Linked DNA regions of Tribolium castaneum. The protein of the gene in region 2 interacts with the protein of the main gene of each other region in a pairwise test. Links are inferred from orthologs where the notes say so. Each region holds a gene or a part of one and is shown on either strand. Other genes may lie near its edges.

Evidence for each region. The genes of interacting proteins can lie anywhere in the genome.
Region 1: the proteins of PAN3 (region 2) and CycK interact in a two-hybrid assay, tested with the Drosophila melanogaster proteins (3 studies listed by BioGRID). The link is inferred for Tribolium castaneum from reciprocal best matches to the Drosophila melanogaster genes PAN3 and CycK.

What each region holds. Positions count from the first base shown.
Region 1 is NC_087397.1:5,733,978-5,741,635, reverse strand, and holds CycK (cyclin-K), read right to left. Parts: upstream 4,281-7,658; 5' UTR 4,123-4,280; intron 4,073-4,122; 5' UTR 4,050-4,072; coding exon 3,953-4,049; intron 3,905-3,952; coding exon 3,645-3,904; intron 3,596-3,644; coding exon 2,816-3,595; 3' UTR 2,715-2,815; downstream 1-2,714. Other genes in the region: Pez (tyrosine-protein phosphatase non-receptor type 21), read left to right, coding at 1-54, 109-291, 338-664, 713-841; BRISC complex subunit Abraxas 2, read left to right, coding at 1,620-1,703, 1,751-2,674; uncharacterized protein LOC100141942, read left to right, coding at 6,337-6,426.
Region 2 is NC_087394.1:25,730,991-25,739,518, reverse strand, and holds the start of PAN3 (PAN2-PAN3 deadenylation complex subunit PAN3), read right to left. Parts: upstream 4,704-8,528; 5' UTR 4,686-4,703; exon of another isoform or gene 4,611-4,685; intron 4,447-4,610; 5' UTR 4,371-4,446; intron 4,320-4,370; 5' UTR 4,312-4,319; coding exon 4,237-4,311; intron 4,191-4,236; coding exon 4,067-4,190; intron 3,965-4,066; coding exon 3,801-3,964; intron 3,751-3,800; coding exon 3,513-3,750; intron 1,266-3,512; coding exon 1,113-1,265; intron 1,069-1,112; coding exon 952-1,068; intron 906-951; coding exon 681-905; intron 632-680; coding exon 346-631; intron 294-345; coding exon 102-293; intron 17-101; coding exon 1-16. Other genes in the region: FAD synthase, read right to left, coding at 4,897-5,163, 5,211-5,561, 5,726-6,487; ldbr (lariat debranching enzyme), read left to right, coding at 6,840-7,036, 7,083-7,234, 7,278-7,518, 7,629-7,961, 8,074-8,528. UniProt on the Drosophila melanogaster protein: Regulatory subunit of the poly(A)-nuclease (PAN) deadenylation complex, one of two cytoplasmic mRNA deadenylases involved in general and miRNA-mediated mRNA turnover.

The DNA of each region.
Region 1 (7,658 bases), on a different chromosome or scaffold from region 2:
CTCACACCAAGCAAGAACAACAAATTTGGTTACATAAACGCCTCTCACATCACGGTAAGCCCACGAATCGACTCATTATTTTTTTGTACGCATTTGATTTAATCTCAGGCGACAGTCGGCAGCAAACAGAGGTTTTATATCGCCGCTCAAGGGCCGAATCGTGTTATTTTACCGTATTTTTGGCAATGCGTGTGGGAAGCGGAGGTTTATCTCATTGTCCAGTTGACGGACAGTACCGAAGACTTGCATTACATGCCAGACGATGGCGAGAGATGTATTGATATTGGACAAGTATGTAAGGTAGCGAGTGAATCGCTGATTAACCAACGAGTTTTAGGAGTTTCAGGTTTGGTGGCAGTTTTCGCAAAATTCGGGCAATTGTGTTACGAGTAAAGTGCGCTTATGCCACGTGACGTCTCGGAGATACCGCACTTTGTGGCACATGCACTACACGGACTGGGGGGATCAGGGGTGTCCCCATTCGGTGCCCCATTTTTTGGGCTTCCTTGAGGAAATGCAGTCGGTGCATCAGCACTCAATGGGTGAAATACCACCCGGGCATAATAAAAATCCCCCAATTTTGGTGCACTGCACGGCTGGGGTGGGCAGGACCGGACTGACGATTTTAAGTGATCTTTTGTTGTACACAGTTGACCATAATCAAGTGAGTTGGAGTGTGGTATTTTCGTTGGTTTATTTTTCCCACTTTTAGGAGGTTTGTGTGCCGAGAGTCGTGGAATTGTTGCGGCATCAAAGAGCGTACATGATACAAACGATTGCCCAATATAGATTTGTTTATTCGCTGTTAATACATTATTTGAAACAGACGCGTCTTATTTAGCACTTTGTGGTTTGCTGTGTTCATTGTTTGTAGTGATTAAGTTGCAATTTTTGTCCAAAAAAAGCTAATCATGTAATCTTGATTTTTGGTAGAATTCGTGTTTTAAACTCAAATAGTATTTATTAAAGTCTGATTATTTGTAATGTTTACCACTTTAGATTTTTTTATTTATGTAATTCGATCATTTTTTAAAATACGTATTGTATAATCTCATCTGCTTCTCTCCAATTATCAAATTATAATAATGGCTGTGTATATAATTAAATATTTTAACTTTTTGCGAGCAATAAACATATTTATTGTGATTGTCAACAGTGCCTTAACCTAAGTATGTAAATTTTGTTATGTATATACAATTTTAAAATAAAATAATTAATAAAAACTAACTGGGAAGTTTTCTTTAAGGCGGCTTGTACAGTCCTCGGTGCACTTCTGCTATGATAATAAAAGTAGCAATCCTAATAATTTTAAATAAACCGCTCGTTATGGATAGAAAGTATGCTTGCGACTTAATGTGCGAGAAGTCCTAAACGGCCTTTTACTATTGATTTTTAGACGTTCTTTTAATTTAAATAAACATAATAAAGAAGATACTTTACCTACTTTAAAATTATTGGTTAAGTGGTAATTAACGCTAACGCTTTTGCGTTCTCGGAAGACTTTATGCACATAGCACCCTACGAACATCGGAGGTTTAAATATAACCTCTAAATTTGTTTTTTATCACAGTGTTTATTAAATAAAAAATATTAGTTTGTGTTAGATTTAACACATTAAAATGACTGAGACGCTTTCACTGATTTTTTCGGGCCCCGCATTTTCATTCCTCCTGCGTGACAATACGAAGAGTGAATATTGTCAAGTAAATTTATTGAATGCCTCTACAAATTAATAAAAATCGACTTCCAGGTGGGGTTTTTGTTAGGCGAACTCGTCGAGAAGGAGACAAAAACAATCACCGATAACGACTTGAGACAAGTCCACATTTCGCGAGAAATCCGTTTCAATGGGTCCCTCTCCTGGCCTGAACCTTTCTACTTTCACAACCAAGCTGGTAAATTACCAGTGGAAAAAATCAAGAGTTTTCTTGGCGATTTAACCCCGCGTGTCTTGGGGTGGTACAGGTACAAACCTGCATCTGGCTTTGATTTCACATTTCGCGACCGTATTTTGCACAAGCAGTTTATTGATCTATTCAGCGCGCCTCCAGAGTTCTTTACTTGTTGCCTGTTGATTAAGGAAAGCTCTGAGAATAGGTCTACGCATTCGTGGAGACAGACTTTTGTGCGTTATCGTAATAATGAGTTGGAATATTTGCGCTTCCGCATTGAGAATTTGAGTGATCCTAACAATACATACAAAACCCCCAACCCCGTATCCCAAACTTTCGTGAAGATTATTAGTGAAGTGAAAAGTGAGGTGGAGGACTCTTCAGGGAATAGTATGATATCAAGGGTTCAAAACGCTGTACAGAAACATACGTCAGGTCTCATTGACCAGCTAGCTGAAGCTGAAAAGCGACTATTTGAGTTGGAAAAAGAACATAAAAGGCTGAAAGCACAGCGAGACAGAATGTTGGAGGCCCAAGCCAACGATAAAGGGACAGATGGATGCGTAAATATGGGCCCTGAACCAACCAACACCACTGGAAATTTAAAAGAAACACCGAAAGGCACAGAGCAGAATAATACCAACTTGAGTGATTCCCCAAAAGGGGCAAGAGGTAGAGGTGGAAGAAGCAATACCGGCGCCCCAGGTAAACGTGGAAGAAGGCCTGGCAACACCCCAGAAAAGGGATGCCACGAAATGATAACGAGACATAAGAAAAGCTAAGGAACTAATTGTTGTGCATTCTTCTAATTTAAACACCAAATTTATTGAAACAATGTATTTCACTAATTTTGTTGCGCATTTTTTTACAATAAACACTAAATATATTAAACCAGTCTTTCACTTAATTTAAACCCACAAAACCTAGTAGGGTCTTGGGGGGTGTTGTCCTGGGGGCGGCGTCAACTGATAATACGGCCCAGCCGGTGGCCCCATCGGCGGAAAAGGTGGCGGATGCGTGACATACGGCGGAAAGACAGCCGGTGGAGCATTCAAATGTGGCGGTGGCCCTGGGGGCGGCGCTGCTAAATGTGGTCCTGGCGGAGCCGGGAGCGGTGCTGCGTACGGCGGCGCCGGATAGGCGGCCACTGGGGGCGGGGCTCCCGTGAACGTCTGGTAAGGGTACTGGGGGACGTCCGGAGGCGGCGGAATTTTCGTATTAATGGGAGGTATCATTTCGGGGATTTCGAGTTTTTCCTGGCCATTGGTCGACTTGCGGCTGGCGGTGGTGGGTCTTGGGGGCAGCGGGGGGCTGTCTGGGGCGGGACTAGTGCTGGGTTGCGAGTACAAGTCGAGGACTTGGTGGCAGATGTCTTCGAGGAGGTCCATGGTGATGTCTTCGACGAACATGTCCCACCAGCGGAGGTGTTTGGGCGTGCGCCCCACCCAGTCGACCACCTCGAACTGGCTGAGCTTGCCAGCGAGGTACATGAGGGCCACTGCGATTATTTCGGGTTCCCATTGCAGGGCTAGGGTTGTGCAAAGACTGTCGTTGACGAAAGTCCAAGCCATTTGGACCATTTTTTGCAGTTTGTTTTTGTCGCCTTTTAGGCACTTGGCGTATTTTAACAAGTAGCTGTAAGGGTGCTCGACTTGTAAATCAAACTTGATTGTTTGTAACAGAATGCGTTCCAAAGTCATTACCTAAAATTACAAAATATTACACAACTACAAGGCAAATCAAATTTTTTACTTCTTCTTTCGGATCGTCGCCGAAAGTCGCAAATTTCTGATCTGACAACAACCCACGTGCAGTTTTTATAATGTCTTTGCATTTTTTGGGCGTTTCTTCAACTTTCCCAGCCAGGAATAAGCAACAGCAAGCTGTTACGTACCGGGGAAATTGGCGGAACGAATGGAACATGTAAAAACGGTGAAAATACACAACTCCAGTCGCTGTTGTGTTATAACCGAGGTCCATTTTGGCCCCAGTATTGATAATAAAGCGAGCCCCTTGAAAAAATCGTCAACTTTTACCAAACTACTTTAATAAAAACAAACCTTCTTTGCGGTAACGCATTTCGGTGTCGTAATCAATACCATCCTGGGCCGAGGGTGTATTTCGTAACTCTTTCTTGTCGTAATACCACCCCGTCATTATTGCCAGACAAGGGGGCTGCGCTGTTTTACAACATCAAGTAAAACCGAAAAGTAGCATTGGAAACGCTTACCCCAAACTGTTTAATCACTTGATAAGGTTAAAGCAAGCGTTCCAAATCAGAACCACACAATCACAAATAAACCACATATATAAATTAACCTCGAAAACGTTTGCTGTCAAATTAACTGATGGACAACAGCTCCCCCCATGGTAGGGGTATGAAAAGCAGTAAAAGAAGCGACGTTATTGGTCGATTAAAAATAGTTTTTGGCCCCATTGTAAGATAGCGCATAAGTAGCAATCAGTAGGCAACACACATTACTGCGACCAACAGTATTTGAAAATAAGCAAAATAAAAGCCTCTAAAGATTAAATTTTTAAACTCTCTAATTTTATCAAAAGATGCCGGGCGTATAAGTTGATTTTACAACTGTTTGAAGTTATGTTTTACGTTTACGTTTATCTCTTTTTCTCTCAAAACAAAAGGTATTTTTCTTTTATAAGGATGTGCTCTTACGTTTACAATTTGGCGCCTTTACGTACTTTTATCTTTTGCCGCATTATTCTCTTAATTCTGTTTATGCTCTGCTTTACGTTTGTGTTTTCTCAATCTCTTATTTTTGTTTATTTCTTATTTCACCTACCTTTTCTACACTTTTTTTTCATAGAAAATTTTTTACACCTGATCCGGGTTCGAACCCCCGACCTCCCCCGTCGTAAGTGGTGCTTATACCACTGGGCCATCAGGGCCCCACGTACTGACCAACCTTTGCAGATATTTTAACACAAACTTTTTGAATAAATCTACATTACAAACTATATAATTGCAATAATTCACCTAAAACGCAAATACATTCAGTTCAAAAGTCGGCGAATTAGCTCGAGAAAACATTATCTTCCACTTTTTTTTAATTTAATTCTCTAATTTTTCACTAGATTTAAGATGTGCTCTTACGTTTACAATTTGACGCCTTTACGTACTTTTACCTTTTGCCAAAGGCAACCTTATCGCGCACCCAAGAAAATCGCGACTTCTAAGGAAATGAAAACTCTAAAATTTTGAAAAGGACCATTCTCGATTTAAAAAAAAATTGTTAATAAATAAAGTCGTGGCAGTTTCGTGAGTTTTTGGGTACTTACTAACTGTTAATTTGACTACAAAGTTTTTAGATTAAGTGAACACCATCAAAGAGGCTGGTTAAAAAATTATTTTGGGTCTACTGATAAATTAATAAAAAGCTGTGTTTTTGCCTGGGACAGTCGAGCTGTATAGGGTGTTGTCTATGCGAGGTCGCATGCGCCCCACATTCACATTGCGTATTCTCGATGGTCCTCAATGGGATGGGAATGGGAAGTTAGGTTGGGAATTATGTTCAATGCACTTGTAATGAAACGTTTTTGCCATTTACGTGCAGTCGGTGGAATGTGTGCGGTCACGGAGGTGTAACACCTGTGTTACAACACTTGTCGCTTATCTCATTCACCTTAAAACAAACTGTGTAGTGTGCACAGAGATAGTGCTCAAATTAAATTTAAAAACATTCATCAGTTTTCTTAGTATGTGAATATGCATATTCGAAGTTGCTTTCATTTTCTGAAAGGTAAAAATTTAATTTAGTTTTTTAAATGATTCAAGTAGTGCAAAATCGCACTGTGTTTTCTTTGGCATGTTCGCGTAGGCGTGAGTGACCTTTACAAATCCGGAATGATAAAAATTTGGAATCTCATTCATGTGACTGAACTAATCAAAGACCTGACCTTCAGGCGCCAAGGAGATTCCAGGTTTTTACTATGCGCATACATTATCCTTAAGGACGATAAATGAAAGAGCAGAATTTTCCAGCATCTGCATTAGGAAGTCCGTACGTCAAAGACCGATTTTTTTTACTGTAAGTACAACAGTCTCAATCAGCTTCGGTGATGGGAAAAATCGGCTTTTGTAGACCAGTTTGAAACTTTCATTACCACTTTTGATAATGCATTAGACTTACTTTCTTTTCCAAGAAATGATAAGAATCTTAAAAAGCTGTCTAAACTTGCATTTAATTGATACCATTAACATAGGCAATGGCACAATCGTAAAAACGAGAATGAAAAAGAAAGTGCGAGCAATTTATAACAAGTCCGTCCCAACTGTTATGCTTGGTCAAGGTTCTAATTGTCTTTTACTCCTAATTACTTCATTTCTGCTCTCGAGATTCGCATACTCTTGCCTCATTTGCCCTTTTCCTCTCTCTTACGGTGTTTTCGACAGGTTTCGAGAAACACCCTTGCGTGAACTCTCATGGGGCAATGCATGTCGCGTAAGGCCGCAGGAGCCTTCGCCGCCTCCGCCGCCGCCGCTCGCAGCAAGCCCACCAAAATGCAGCACCAGGTAAGAAAAAAATCGCCGTGTGAAAGTTAACGATCCGAGAGCTTGAGAAAAAACAACAATAGAGAGTGATTAAAATTCTTGTAATTTTTTTAATGACCGCCGACGGCGCATGCCGTCGCGACGCCGCATTGGCCTTCCGCCGCCGATCAATTCTTTGACGCGAATCAAAGATGAATCACTTCTGCATTGTGTTTGGTGTTTAAACGGAAAAATGTCAAATTTGTCGAATCTTCTGATGGACGAATGTCCTCCTGATCTCCAGGTGAGTTACTCGGGGTCAGGTGCTCTAATGAGATGTATCCTGGGTACAGTTACAAGACATTCAGCGCATATTCTTCGAATGTTCCGTTGAAAACGGCCAATCACTTGTATTTATTGTCTTGTAGGTTACAGAACCGAGTCACGATTTTGTGTAAAATGCACGGCGAAAGGTGAAACACTGAAATATTTTTGACTCATTAAATGTACTCGCATCAGTTATTTTTTGAAGGTGTTATTTGCCACAGGACGGTAATTTATGCGGGCGAAAAACTCGCATCAATAGAGGTGAAAGCGGAAGTGGGACATTTTTCAAACCTTTGGCGTTTTTGCATATTGTAATTAATTTAATTATTTCGCGCAGGAAATTATCGGTATGCAAAACGGTGCCTGAAAGATGAATACTGCGTCAGGTGGACGATTGGCTCATGGGAACACATGTCTGATTTGTCGCAATTAAAATTCAAGACCCGTTTCCACATTCACTTACTCACACATAATGGTTTTTTCGTGGCCATTGCAGCTCAGTTTATCCTAATATTCATGGCTCAAGACGATTTTCTCTCCCTATTTTCTGCCTCATTACGTTTTAATTTGATACAAGAGCGACAGCTAGAATCTAATTACGTTCCATTGTAGTATTGTAAAGAATCTCTTGTGTTTGGCCGTAATTATTTCTTGCGCAAGAGTTTGTTGACTTTCCAGTATCAAAAAATTGTTATTTTAGTTCAATCTGATAGAGCAATGCAAAACCGGTAAATGATATCTCAAAATCGGCTTACTTTCATTACACGTGTCCCCGGAAGCTATGAACTATTTGTTTACTTATTCACGTGAAAAGTGGCAAATTTCTTGCAAATAATCCTTCAAGGAATTCACGATAACACTCTCTAATTTCTAATCATGTGAATTAAATTAGAACAGTCAACCGTTTGACGCTTTTTTCCCCAACTGCAGCAATGTAAACACGTAGG
Region 2 (8,528 bases):
ACCATCCATATTCAACCTAAACAAAAAAAAAACTATATAGTGCCACTTCAAAACAATAAAAACGCCCTCCTTTATAAATTAAAACAAAAAATAATAATTACTCAGGTCGCTCGTTAATCGTGCCCAACTTGGCCATAAGTCTGAAAAGCCGCCCATTTTCGATCTCTTTCGACAGTTCGTACTCCAGCACTTCGATATAGCTGTGCAAATTGTCCATTTGGGTGTAAAACCTCGCACCGATCATTGGCATCAAGTCCGTGATGCTTTTCCGCTGTTGTGGCGATAACAGATACCTGTAATACCGACTCAAAACTCACGCCAATTCAATTGTTTCAGTCTACTAACATAATCAAATTTCTAAGATCGCTGGTGTACGAACGACTGATGATGTCCACAGCTGTGGATATGTTCTCCCTTTGCACAGCCACCGTCGATTTGCACGCTAAAGCTAAAACTAACTTGCCCAAAGCTGTTAAATCCTCTTGTTGGTAGTGCTGGACTAAGGCTAGGGGATTCACCGATGCGCTGTTTTCGTTCAAAACCACATCCATCACACCCAAACAACTCAATCTTAATCGGTTTTTCGAAGTGATAATTATTTTTGTCGGGTCAAGGCTCCTACAGGCCAGACCTGGATAAAAAAATTTGAAACCAATGTCCTAAAGACAACGCCGCCTCACCTGACGAGTGTATCAAACGCAAGGCGGAAGTGAGCTGAATAATGTAGTTCCAAATCAGAAATTCCGGAAGTTTGTTGTTTTGTTGGTGCCGCAGTATACTGTTCTTCTGGTGGCTGTACGGCCTAGGGGAGGTGTCGGGGGCGAAGGGATCGGGCTGATCGGACGAAAAATACTTACTTAAGAGTGTCTCCGACCCGGGATAATAATCATAAACGAAAATTAACGCTGCAAATAACAATTATTTCAAACCACTTGAAATTCGTAAAAATACAATTGTCTCCAAAGGCCTTAGTCGTGAAGACTTCTTGCAACTGTACAATATTGGAATGATTCAGATTTTTCCACAAGTCGACCACCACCATACACTTGGCGTTTTGGAGACGAAATCCTAGACCAAAACTTAGAGACGGTATTACAGATCGCTGTACTCACCATGCAGCCGTCTCAAGCAATACGGTGTCCCGGTTTTAGTATGAATCGCTTTGTACATGGACGCTTGGTACCCCAAATGGGTCTTATGAAGCGAATTGCTCGGGATGCGTTCAAGGGGGCACAACTCGTGGTAGTTCTCCACTTGCGGCAGGTCTGAAAATTTAAAAAAATCGCCCAAGTGTTTATAAAAATGTGCTGTAACTATGGTAATAAAACGTAGTGGTCACACAAATCAATGGCGGGTGTTATTGCATGGCCAACTTATATCAATTTGCGCTTTGATCCATTAAGGCCGTAACACAACAAAAACAAAAAATCCGTTGACTGATTCTCCTAACATAAAAGTATTACTCTCCGTAACTAGCTCCATATGCACGGAAAAATTTAAACTAAAATAAAGTTAATAAATTATCTAGCCAATTACAGTCGTTAAGAAATATGAATGTTTAAATGACATCTTAAACTGATAATTTAAATTTGTCAGAGAAATCACGAACAGAAGTGAATAATCGCAAAAATTAAAGTATAATTCGATAATAATTATACAACATGTATACAAAATAGTGCATAAGATCTCTGGTATGTTTTAAAAGTCGTTTAAGGAACCCTCTAAAAAAAAAGTACAAAGTGGTCTACAACTCACGAAAGCTGTATGTAGTTAAGACAATTCTGAAGCTAAACTTGTCACTAGATTCCAATTTAATACAGAATCACACGGAAATACAGAAAGTTTAAATTTGTGACCTATTTGACCTTAAAAAATCTAAGTAGGCTGTTGCCATTTTTTTATAGTTTTGAAACACCCAGTACTTGAGTCTTTTCACCGAATCTATTTCAATTGTTGTACAGTAGTTACCAGTTGCAACTATGGATTTTATTTAACTATTACCAGATGATATTTTTAGTTTTCTGGTCCTTTTCTTGGTTATATCGCCGATTAAAAAAATTTTAAAAATTAAAAGAAAAAATTCCCCTCTTTGCTTTTTTAATGCTGTTATGAATAATCTAGAGAATTTTTATTATCTTTCTAGATTTTGTTGGAATATGTGCTATAGCGTACTGAATATCTCTTGTGTACACCCCTGTACAGTAAAATATTGTCTACCATATAAGAGACCAAAAACATTCAAATAGAAACACTAAAATTGAATAGTGTTGTAGGAAAATTATTATTCAATATTTGCAGGTACACATTCCTTTGAGACTAATATCTTGATCAAAAGAGAGAAAAATATTCTAGAAATGAAATTTGGACATGAATATGGAACGTTATTTTAATATAAGTTTTGAATTAACGTATTAACATATACCACATACGAGTAAAAACTGATTAGTTGAATTTTCATGTTTCTTGATGTTTAGAAAAAATGCAAATTATATAAAGTTGTAACAAATTACAAAAATGAACATGTTTTTTAAGAAACTTTAAACGATTTTTAGCCTTTGCTGAAATCTGACAAATTAATTTGAAGACATTGAAAGACACATTAGGAACACAAGTCGTCCTGTTGATACATTTCAAAAAATTGCATGTAAAATAAAGCTGATTTGCTTTATTATTATTTTTTATTATTATTGCTTTTTGTTAAAAAAAGATAACATTAATTACTAGGAAACAAAATCACTGGAGTCTAACTCGAAATTCCATTTATTCCTAATTTATTTTTTATAACGATCTGGAGGGGAGAAAAATTATAGGAAATCCTGACAAAATCACGGAAAATCATCAGGGATTTTTGAGGAAATCAGAAGAAACCAGAGCAAATCGCCAAAAATCAATATAAAAAAACAAAAAAAATTAGAAGAATCGTGAGGAAATGACGGGACATCCTTTCAAAAATTAGGGGAAATCTTGAGAAAAGGCGAAAAATTATAAAAACATTCAAGGAAAATCTTAAGGAAATGACAAAAAAACAGTATTTTAAAATATTAGGAGAAATCTTAACCAAATTAAGAGAATTTAGAGAAAATATTGAGAAAAATATTTTTTAAAAATCAGGAGAAATTTTGAAGGAAATATCAAAGGAAATTTTGGGGAAAATCTAGTAAACAAAACCTCTCGTTTGTGAGTAATGTTTCAGTGAAGGTTTATTGGTTTATGAGCGTTTTCGAGCCTAATAATAACCATCGTAGGTGAAAGATAATTATGAGAAAAGATAGCTAGTATAAGATTAGGCCTATTAACGACTTAAAAAACCGAACATAAAAATAATAGCTTTTTTACTTGCAAAACAATTTATAAAATCAATCTACTACTTGCTTCGTATGTTAATGAAGATATGGCGCCTCATAAGAATTTTTAGGTTGGGAGAATTGGAAACGAAAGATGTGATAATGGAGCTCATCGACAATTGATGTTAGTTGGCCATGAATAAAACAACGGTCGGTAAAAACAATCACCTGCGTACTGCTGATTGGCCTGCATGAGCGTCAAGGCGTTGCGATTCATCAGCTCCATCTGGAGGTCCTTTGATATGAAAAACGAGGCGCCCTGCTTGGCCTTAAGTGAAGTGATGTGGTTAGGGGTGCCTGGGTACACATTGTAGTCCGAGGTGAGGTTGCTATTGACAGCAACATCAGTGGCGTGACAAGTTTCCGAGGTGGTTGGGTAAAAGTACGTTGTCCCGCCCACATTTTCCTAAAAGCACGCGGACCCTGTATTACCGGCTTTCGGTTGGTCTGGAGTACCTGATATGCCGCAACAGCTATGTTATTTACATCTGACATGGGTGAACAGCTGCTGACGCGATTGGGTGAAGCTGATTGACTGGAATTTTCTGGGTGGTCAGAAACGCATCGAATGGGCGAAGGGTCTAGCGTTGGGGTGAAAGAGTTGAAAATGTTGGGTGAAGCTGAAAACAAATGATTAGATTAGGAGAGGTCAATGGGTCCAAGAGCGTCATGGAAAAAAGAAAACAGTTGGGGTTTCAAGGCCACCAGCTGTTACACAATACCTGGAGCACTGGACACCAGACTTGTCCCTCCAACACATTGGGGACTCGTTAGTGGTTTTTTCGGTTCGATACTCAACTTGCTTTGGAACGACTGGTGCAAACTACCACTCGAATTTTGAATGTTCTACAAACGAAAATCCCGTAACTGAAACGTTACGTAAACACCTTACCATGTAATTTGCTAGTTTAGATTCCTGGGGAACCCCATTCGTTTGTGCGAACCGGTAATAAACCTGATGATCCATTAAATTCCCTGAAACAAAGAGACGTTACAATATTGTAACCCCTCAACGACCCCGCTCACAATTCTAGTAAAAACCATGCGATGGAAACATTTTAGTCGAGAAACCTGAACGCGCACAAAACCCCCTTTCTGAAAACTGAAATTAATTATTTCTATTTACTTCTGACACCTGAAAATTTGCTGAAAATAATCGCCATTTTGTTTGTGTTGATTTGACTTGTCGGCGATGTAAAAAATTAATTGTTGCCAATTTTGCCAAAAACACACTATGTGACCAAGGGCGCAAAAAGGTACAAATACCTGCGAGACCGTGCAAAAGATAACGATAATAATCGGAAAATAAAAAACAAATATGATAGTGCTAACACAACGCACCTTTTGTCAGGTTGGTAGATTGCAAGTTGGCAGCGCTGACCGGAGCCAATTTTAAATTAAAACAACCAATAAAACACAATTTCACATTTTTATTAAACAACATTAATAAACTCTACAGAACCAACATATACAATAAATAATAAAGTACGATCTATGTATTTTGCTACATTTCCACCCCCAGAAATAAATTCAGCTAGTTTTTCCCCGAAAATCAACTCGTATTCCGTCCATTGCGCTCCTTAACCTCTTTCAGTAATTTATAAGCCGGTAAGTAAAATTCGCCCTCGTCAAACGGCTCGTAGCACTTAAGAGAGGGATTCCGATTCGTATTTACGGTGTTCCCCAACGAGGTGAACCCCAAATCGTACAATTTACAGTACGGTACTTTATAGAAGAGTAAATAATCCCAAATATCGGAATAATGCCAGTCCAGGACCGGACTAACTCTGAGTATTTGAGGCCAATTGGAATCAGTCATCTGTAACCAAATTCTCAAAAACACCTTCAAAACTTGACGAAAAATACCTGAAAAACTGTCAAATCGCCTGAGTACGGATCTGTTCGTCTCGTCCCCATAAAGCATGCCTTGAAATTTGGATATTTTTCCAGAGTTTGGCCCAAAGCATCCTTGATTCCCGCGTTAATGACCATTATTTTCAAATTATAGTAGCATTTGCACAAGTCAATAAACTCGTCTTGCTCGGGAAAGGGACTTTCACTTTGGACGTAAAGACAGGGAATTGGTTGTGAATGTTGAGGAAATTTTTTCTTGACGACTGTTAAAACCAAATGGAGCAAAACGGTGCAGTCTTTTCCGCCGTTGAAACTCACGAAGATATTCTCTAAACCGTACTGTTGCAAACACTCTTCAATGTTCTGGAAAAAACAAAATTATTTGACGAGTCGCACATGGCTCCTCCAGTTGCCATAGAAACGTGCTGTAACTATGGTAATACAGCAGGACATGAATGGGGATTGTCATGGTGACAACTACGATGAGTCAAACCAGTGGCGGGTACACTGTCTTACCTCTTACTTACTTCAATTGCATGTTTGATGTGTGTTTCATTGCTGGAGTACACGTGTTCCCACACGTCTGAATTATCGATAAATTTTAAATTATAATTTTGAAACCTGTCACTGATTTTCCTCTCAAATTCCACCATTTCGCGCAATTCTGGACTCGACACTTTGAAAGTGTAACACTTATCAGTTTTGCTAAATTCCAGTTGGAGACCATTGGTTTTAAATTCATTTAAATCAATTGTCAAGTTTCCGTTTTTAACGATTTCGATTATTTTTTGCAAGTTTCTCTCTTTCCTATACTTCAATAAATGATTCTTTAAAACTTTGGTGAAACTCTGTTTCAGAAACTTCTCCTTCAATATAAAAATCCTCTGGAAGTAAACGACGGGATAACTGTGTCCCGAATGCAAAATTTTAGCTTGCCGCGGCAATAAGGTCTCAGTTTTGTTCGAATTCTCGCCAATCTCTGCGAGTATTCGAGTTAGGTCATCACTAGTTTCAAGTTCTTGTGAGGTCATTTTGCCAAGTGCTCTGTAAATAACCCCGCATCGCTCACCAACGGCTATTATCATGTCGAAAGACCTCATTAGTGCATGAAGTTCGTTAAAAATCACATCTTCTCTTTCACTGATTGTCGAGACTTTGCCCACACTATAGTCCAAACAGGCCAGTTCCTTGATCAGATATTTGCTAGTATTGTCGGTTTTTTCGCCGGAAAGAACCTCGTCACTAATTACGACGATACCGACGGTCTTCAACGACATTTTTCGCCTCATGACACACAACAGTTTCTCGCAAACGCAACACTTTCACATTACGGTTTTTCAACTTTGACACTGACTTTTTATAGGTTAGGTTGGAAATTTGGCCCCCACTTTGTACACATTAAGCGAATAACGGTAAATGAAAAAACAATTATTTTATTTAACAAGTTTTTTTTTATACATATTTAATCATTGAGATTACAACAGCGTATAATATGTATACTTTTGTTTGTGTGTTTAACGCACAATTAATTATTTTTGTTAGTGTTTTCTTATATCAGATTTCCCATCTGCCGACTTTCCCTCACCTTGGACTTGTCAAACATTTTTTTAACCAACAATTTTTTTTGAAAATTATTTTGAGATGAAAATTGCGGTCGAAGGTTGTGCCCACGGCGAATTGGAAATAATTTACGACACTCTGCAATATTTGGAAGAGAAGGAAGGCTTTAAAATCGATTTGCTCATTTGTTGTGGCGACTTTCAAGCTTCTCGCAATGAAGCGGACCTCCGGTGCATGGCGGTGCCCCCTAAATACTACAACATTTGTTCATTTTACAAGTAATCAAAGTTCGTCCATTTCGTTGCGTTAATAACCAAATTTCAGGTATTACACCGGGATTAAAACAGCCCCAATTCTCACGATTTTTATTGGGGGCAACCACGAAGCGTCCAATTATCTGCAAGAGTTGCCATATGGGGGCTGGGTGGCCCCGAACATCTACTACTTGGGTTATGCCGGAGTGGTCAATATTGCAGGTTAAAATCGCTACTTTGTCTTCTTTAATTAATATTTGTTCAGGTTTAAGAATTGGGGGCATTTCGGGGATTTACAAAGGACAGGATTACATGAAAGGTCACTTTGAGCATTCGCCTTACAGCGATAGTTCAAAACGCAGCGTTTATCACATCAGAAATTTGGAAGTTTTTCGGTTGAAACAACTGTCTCAACCTTTGGATATTTTTTTATCACATGATTGGCCCTCGGGGATCTGGCAATATGGAAATGCGGCGCAATTAATACGTTTTAAACCTTTTTTCGAGTAATTCACAGTAACGGAAGTTTCCCTGTGTTTCTGAAGACATGGCACCAGGGAAATTTTCTTTATTAATCAAGATTTCCCCGAATTTGTGATTATTATCAATTTTTTAGAGAAGATATCAGCAGAGGACAACTGGGTAGCAAACCAACCGAAGAATTGCTAAATCATTTGAAGCCAGATTATTGGTTTTCGGCTCATTTGCACTGTAAATTTGCCGCAGTGGTGCCACACGAGTGTGGCAAAATCACCAAATTTCTTGCACTAGATAAGTGCCTTCCTAAAAGAAGGTTTCTGCAAGTTGTTGATGTACCTCATGACACGAATTTGGAAAAAATTGAAATTAGTTACGATCTAGAATGGTTGACTATTTTAAGATTAACAAATCATCTGCTAAGTGTTAAAAATGTGACCAATTATTTACCAGGGCCTAGTGGCAATGAGAGGTAATTTTTAATCAAAATCACGGATTTTCGTTACTATGGTTACTTGTCTTTTGTTTTCGTAACTATGGTAACAGATGGCGGCACAATTCAAAATTAAAAAAAAAATTTTTAGGTGGTGCTTTACTCCAGACGAGGAGGAAAAATCGTTTACTTTGAACCTGTTTGGTGATCTGGTGGTTCCAAACAATTTCGAGAAAACAGCTGAAGGTTATTCCGGTCATAAGACTAAAAATTTAACGCAACCAGTGCCAGTTTGTAATTCACAGACCGTTTTGTTTTGTAAAAAATTGGGAATCGATGATCCGTTGAATTTAATTCTTAATTTAAGTACAAACTCTGCAATTGATCTTAGTGCAAATAGTTTAGGTGATGATAGTGCAAGTAAGACAACACCGAGAAAAATAGTCTTGGACTTGCCCCAACCAGTGAATGAAAGTGTTCCAACGTTTGTGGACGAAACAATTTCTCAACCGGAATTGAACGAAACTGTTGAAGAAATGGAAGTTCCGGTTGAGGAAAAATCAAATTGCGGTAAAGAAGTGGAAGTTCCGGTTGAGGAAAAACCAA